2 linked regions of the Coturnix japonica genome follow. The protein of the gene in region 2 interacts with the protein of the main gene of each other region in a pairwise test. Links are inferred from orthologs where the notes say so. Each region holds a gene or a part of one and is shown on either strand. Other genes may lie near its edges.

Evidence for each region. The genes of interacting proteins can lie anywhere in the genome.
Region 1: the proteins of CARD9 (region 2) and TASOR2 interact in binary tests that used the Homo sapiens proteins (3 or more experiments, as listed by UniProt). The two-hybrid records come from large-scale screens. The link is inferred for Coturnix japonica from reciprocal best matches to the Homo sapiens genes CARD9 and TASOR2.

What each region holds. Positions count from the first base shown.
Region 1 is NC_029516.1:1,112,304-1,116,247, forward strand, and holds the start of TASOR2 (protein TASOR 2), read right to left. Parts: upstream 2,807-3,944; 5' UTR 2,366-2,806; coding exon 2,323-2,365; intron 1-2,322.
Region 2 is NC_029532.1:6,405,222-6,407,918, forward strand, and holds part of CARD9 (caspase recruitment domain-containing protein 9), read left to right. Parts: intron 1-263; coding exon 264-443; intron 444-617; coding exon 618-767; intron 768-1,218; coding exon 1,219-1,344; intron 1,345-1,459; coding exon 1,460-1,651; intron 1,652-2,143; coding exon 2,144-2,185; intron 2,186-2,521; exon of another isoform or gene 2,522-2,697. UniProt on the Homo sapiens protein: Adapter protein that plays a key role in innate immune response against fungi by forming signaling complexes downstream of C-type lectin receptors.

The DNA of each region.
Region 1 (3,944 bases), on a different chromosome or scaffold from region 2:
TTATAAAACACATTATTACTTGCTTGATCAGCTCTTTACCTGCAAACTTCTTTTAGCTACATGTGCAGCCCAGCTTTCATAATGAGCCCTGGTTCATTAGTGCTGCAGCACTACAGCACGGAAGCCTCTTTACTCATTCAGTGTAAGCCCAAAACGGAGCCAAATTAAGGCAGACTATTTGCAAACCGATCAACCAAGGCAGAACACAGAGACTGCAATGTGGTCCCAGCAATGGAGGAGGTGTCCTTTGCCTACAGGTCTTACAATCCTTATTTTATCACATCACATGCTGCTCTCTTTCATCTCCACAGATGCTCCTCAAAGCCTCCACTCTATGATATGACTCTATGATTCGTCCCAGTGTTCCTTCTCTTCACCTGGGGTTAAGCAAAGTAACACAGTCTAGGGAGTTCTGTCTATCCAGATTTCCCCCTATCAAGGAGTGCATATAGATGGCAAGCCCAAGCTTCTGCAAGACAGTTTGGGGATGAACTGGAGGCAGAATTGTGCAAAACCAGTATAGAAACACCACTCTAATGCCAATTTTTCCACCTGTAATGCTGGTTCCCATCCCAACAAGGGTCCAAAATGGAAACAAAGGTCTCCCAGCCTCCATCCTGCACATGAAACTTCTGTTTGCATTTCCATGCCCTGCTCTCCTGAAGGGCATCTGCATAACTTCACCCAGCTCCCAAGGAGAGGCCACAAAGCAACAACAAGAAAATAAAGACCGCACCTTTCCCCATTTTACCTTTACCAGAATGCACAGCAAATGGGAAGCCTAGAATGGCCAATGCATTCCCAAGGAGAAATTAAAACAGTTTTGTTACAGTTTGGAAGATCTTGAGATAGGGCTGAGTGGGGTCTGAAGGCCTCAGGGTAGGGCTGAGGGGGTCTGAAGGGCATAGGGTGGCTGTCTGCAGGGGTGAGAGGATTTGAAGACCTTGGGGTGGCTTTTTGTAGGGCTGAGGGTGTCTGAAGGGCATAGGGTTGCTGTCTGGAGGGGTAAGGGGGTCTGAAGGGTTTGGAATGGCTGTCTGGAGGGGTGAAGGGGTCTGAAGGGCTTATAGGAGGGCTGAGGGGGTCTGAAGGGCATAGGGTGGCTGTCTGCAGGGGTGAGAGGATTTGAAGGCCTTGGGGTGGCTTTTTGTAGGGCTGAGGGTGTCTGAAAGGCTTGGAATGGCTGTCTGGAGGGGTAAGGGGTCTGAAGGGCTTATAGTAGGGCTGAGGGTGTCTGAAGGGCATATAGTGGCTGTCTGCAGGGGTGAGAAGATTGGGCAGGCCTTGGGGTGGCTTTTTGTAGGGCTGAGGGGGTCTGAAGGGCATATGGTGGCTGTCTGCAGGGGTGAGAGGGTTTGAAGGCCTTGGGGTGGCTCTTTGTAGGGCTGAGGGTGTCTGAAGGGCTTGGAATGGCTGTCTGAAAGGGTGAAGGGGTCCGAAGGGCTGAGGGGTTCTGAAGGGCATAGGGTGGCTGTCTGCAGGGGTGAGAGGATTTGAAGGCCTTGGGGTGGTTTTTTGTAGGGCTGAGGGTGTCTGAAGGGCTTGGAATGGATGGCTGGAGGGGTAAGGGCATCTGATGGGCTTGGAATGGCTGTCTGTAAGGGTGAAGGAGTCTGAAGGGCTTTTAGTAGGGCTGAGGGTGTCTGAAAGCCTTGAGGTCAGGCTGGGTGGGTGGGTCTGAAGGGCTTAGGGTAGCTGCATATAGGGCTGAAGGTGTCTGAAGGCCTTGGGGTAGGGCTGAGAGGGTCTGAAGACTCGGGATGGCTGTCTGTAGAGGTGAGGGGGTCTGAAGGGCTCAAAATGGCTCTCTGAAAGGATGAAGGGGCCTGAAGGCCTTGGGAAGACTATCTATAAGGTTGAGGGGGTCAGAAGGGCTTGGGGTTGTAGGGCTGATGGGGTCTTAAAGCCTTGCAGTGTCTGCCTGTAGGGGTGATGGGTCTGAAAACCTTGGTATGGCTGTCTGTAGGGGTGAAAGGGCCTGAAGGCCTTGCAGTAGGGCTGATGGGGTCTAAAGGGCTTGAGGTAGCTGCCTGTAGCAGGGAGGGGATCTGAAGGGCTTGGCTTGGGGCTGAGGGAGTCTGAAGGGCATGGAGTGGCTGTCTATAGAACCAAGGGAGCCTGAAGGCATTGGGATGGCTGCCTATAGCGCCGAGGGCTGCTCTCTATCCCTCATCCTAAAGGGGGGAAACCTCCGAGGCTCACCCCGCTCCAAAAGGGAACACGGGGAGCTAAATCCACGCCCCAAACCCCCCCCAACCCCAGCAGGAAAAGACAGACCCGGCTCCCCTCGGTTCCCCTCGGTTCCCCGGTCGCGATACTCACCCGCTCCCGGCCCTGGGGCCGCCTCATCCCGCCGTTCTCCCATATTCGGGGTTTTAATCCTCTCGGCTCCGTTCCTTTCCCTCACGCCATAACTCCCGCCCGACCCTCCCCGCTCGGCTCCGCGGTCCCCGGGGCCGGGCGGGTTGAAAGGGGGGGGGGGGAGGCAATCAAGAGAAACGAGGCGGCATTACGAGACCGCAAAACAACGCCAGCCCCCAGGGAGGGGAAGGCAACACCGGGGAGGGGAAGGAGAGGGCGGGCCGAGGGCTGAAAAAAAACAGAAAGTGAAAACTGAACCGGAAAGACAGCGAGACCGCGCCCGCGGCTTTCCTCTTCCCGTGGGTCAGCGTGGCACAGTGACGTTCCTATGGCCGTCCTTCAGCCGGTTCCCTCACAGAGATCAGCCCTGTTTTACACAGACCCCTCTTTCAGACCTCATCGCCTTCCCTCAGCCCCTTCCCGAACTGATCTTAGCCCTCAGCCCCTTCCCTCACAGATCTCAGCCCCCATTGCCATCCCTCAGCCCCTTCCCTCAGCCCCTTCCCTCACAGATCTCAGCCGCCATTACCTTCCCTCAGCCCCCATTGCCATCCCTCAGCCCCTTCCCTCACAGATCTCAGCCGNACAGATCTCAGCCGCCATTACCTTCCCTCAGCCCCCATTGCCATCCCTCAGCCCCTTCCCTCACAGATCTCAGCCGCCATTACCTTCCCTCAGCCACCACTGCCATCCCTCAGCCCCCCATTGCCATCCCTCAGCCCCTTCCCTCACAGATATCAGCTGCCATTGCCTTCCCTCAGCCCCTTCCCTCACAGATCTCAGCCCCTATTGCCTTCTCTCAGCCCCAATCGCCATTCCTCAGCCCCCATTGCCATCCCTCAGCCCCCATTGCCACCCCTCAGCCCCTTCCCTCAGCCCCTATCCTCTCAGATCTCAGCCCCCATTGCCTTCCCTCAGCCCCTTCCCTCACAGATCGCAGCCGCCATTACCTTCCCTCAGCCCCCATTGCCATCCCTCAGCCCCTTCCCTCACAGATCTCAGCCCCCATTGCCATCCCTCAGCCCCTTCCCTCACAGATCTCAGCCGCCACTGCCTTCCCTCAGCCCCTTCCCTCACAGATCTCAGCCGCCATTGCCTTCCCTCAGCCCCCATTGCCATCCCTCAGCCCCTACCCTCATAGATCTCAGCCCCCATTGCCATCCCTTAGCCCCTTCCCTCAACCCCTTCCCTCATAGATCTCAGCCCCCATTGCCATCCCTCAGCCCCCATTGCCATCCCTCAGCCCCTTCCCTCACAGATCTCAGCCCCCATTGCCTTCTCTCAGCCCCAATCACAATTCCTCAGCCCCCCATTGCCATCCCTCAGCCCCTTCCCTCATGGGGAAGCTTTGGTTGGGTGTATTTTTCTATGTTTGCTAGCTATAATTCAATGAGTGAGCATGGTGGTGACATCCTGGCAGTTGGACTTGAATATTTGGAGGTCTTTTCCAACCTTAATGATTTTACAAATCATTTCACCATCTCTCTGGACCTTCACGATGCTTCTAGCTTGCTTTTTTTTTTTTTTTATTCTCTGTAAGGTGTCAGCACCAGCCCAGAGGTATCAGTGGACAATATTCATCC
Region 2 (2,697 bases):
TGTTACAAGCTGTGCCATGAAGAATCGAGTCTTCCCCTTGTTTGAGGCTGGGCCTTCTCACAAGGGCAATGTAGAACCAGCCTGTTGTACCCATTTAGCACAAAGTCTCAGCTCCCCAGAACACCAGACTTCCTAAGGAACATAGAGCTGGGGAAAAGCTTGCACCATGCTTGCCTGATAAATGGGGAACTCTGCCACGAGAGCACTGCTTTTGCAACCAGGCTTTTGTGTCTGTTACTGATGAGCTCTGAACCTCCTTGTAGATTGACAGCTTGAAGCATAGCCTCATGAAGGCTGAGGATGACTGCAAACTAGAGCGTAAACACTCAATGAAACTGAAGCACGCCATAGAACAGCGTCCGAGCCATGAAGTGATGTGGGAGATCCAGCAGGAGAAGGAGTTGCTTTTGGCCAAGAATCAGGAGCTGGAGAACACTCTCCAGGTTGGTGGGGGGGTGACTGGGTGAGGAATCTAAAGAAATTATTCTTCTATGCAGCCAGCACAGCGATGGAGCTGTACTGAGTGTTTTGAGGGTCAGCTATGGCCTTGTTCTCCCAAGTTGTACAGAGAGCACGTTGGATTTCAGAGTTAGATGGTTGCTGTATCTTTTGTTCAGCAGGTTGCCAGAGAACAGAATTTGGAGAAGAATCTCTCCCGTGAGACTGTGCAGAATGACTGCAGCCAGATACTGGAGCGCAGGGACCTGCTGAACACCCTGTACCACCTCCGCAAGGAGCTGCGCCAAGCCGAGGTGCTCCGAGACAAAGTGTGTGGTGCAGTACAAATCCCTGCTGGGGCTCAGTGGGGTCAGATGGGCAGATTAAGCACATAAAGTGTCTTACCAGTGAAGCAGCAGAGCTGCGAGGCAGCATTCGCTGATGCTTCTATTCTAGGGTCTGTGTTGCAGTTTGAGGGAAAAGATGTGCTAATATTCTAGTGGTCTGAGTCTGTGACATTAACTGTGTTACCTGTTGATGCCTGTGCCTCAGCCTGCAGGGTGATGGGAGCTTATATCATGATTGACAGCTCAGGTACATGTAAAATCTGCCATGTTAGCAGGCTTTCTAGTCATACTGCCTGGTCTTCTGGTTGGCTTTGCTCCGGCAGGGCAGTCTGGCTTTGGTGTTGCAGGGAAGTCTGGCTATAGCAATCTGTGATATAGAGCAGAAGTGATGAGATTCTAGCTTGGGCTCACCCCACAAGCCATGTCTCAACAGTATGCAGAGGAAAAAGAGATACTTGAACTACAGTGCATGTCTCTGAGGAAGGACTCCCAGATGTATAGAAAACGGATGGATGCTGTCTTACAGCAGATGGAGGAAGTGGCTTCAGAAAGAGACCAGGTGATAAAACGTTCCTCCAGAAGCTGCTGCTAATCCCTGGCTTGCTGCTTGAAGCAGGCAGGTATTGTAACCCTGAATGTGGTGTCGTGCTACAACACGTTGCCTCTTACACCAGGCACTGCTGACCAGAGAACAGTTCTACATGCAGTACTCAAAGAACCTGATTGAGAGGGATGCTTATCGGAAGCAGATTCGGGAGCTGGGGGAGCGATGCGATGAGCTGCAGCTGCAACTCTTCCAAAAGGAGAGTCAGCTACTGGCTACTGAAACCAAGCTGAAAAGGCTGCAACTGGAGCTGCCTGCACTGGTATGTTTGTGGGGTTATTGTGTGTGATGAGTTGGAAAGTGTTGAGTCTAGGATCCAAATAAGACTGCTTTGAGACACTGAGACCTAACCAATCCGATTTCAGCAAGCAGTGGCCACCTGCTTGGGTAACCATTTATTTCTGTGAAGACGTGATGGTTCTTAGGAGCTCACCCTGGTCTGCTGAAGCCTTACACATTTGGAGTGCTTCCAGACACCATAAAGGCATTGTCACCCACTAAAGAGTGAACTCTGGAGTCTGTACAAGCCATTTGGGTGAAATAGGAGCAGGGTATGAGAGTTCATGGAATTAAATGAGACATCTGAAGACTTGTAATTATTGTGGCATCTTATGTGCTTTCTCCAAATGGTCAGATGAGTGTAGGAGGAAGTTAGTTCACATTTCTATCTTCTGGAGCTTTTGATGTCCTCTGTGTTCCATTGCAGCCATTTATTCACTCATGAGGAGTAACAAACTTACTGGTTTTATTTCAGACTTCTGACCTGGATGACACCTCCTCCAGAGATTCCCAGGATGTGAGTAGGGTGCCTTGTTTATGTTTCATTTTCTCCTGGGATGGTTTCAGCTTCCTCAGTTGCGCTAATTCCCAAAGAAGCAGCAGTCTGTGCTCCATGGGTCAGGCTCACAGCAGTGACATCAAGTCCTGAGGCAGCAAAGCAGGCTAACAGCTAAGGGTGGCTTCTCCTTATGTCCTGAGACTTCTGACCATGGGGATGCAGCTGTGATAAGATTTAAGTCCAAGCAGACCAGAAGATTCAAATTATTTTGCATTGCTTCTAATCTCTCTCTTATGAGAGAATGTGCAAAAATAAGTATTATCCTGAGAACATGCGTAGAAAAGAGGGTTTTGGTTTTTTCCAGCTTAGTTCATAACTGTGGTAGGGGTTGTCACATTGTCTGGAGACAAAATGAATGAGCCCATAGTCATGGAGGATAAGTCTGTGTGTAGATACACAGCTTCTAGTTCAGAATGTTTCCTGTTTTGCTTACAGCAAGATGCAGTGGGGGAAGGTCGGTTATATGCCTG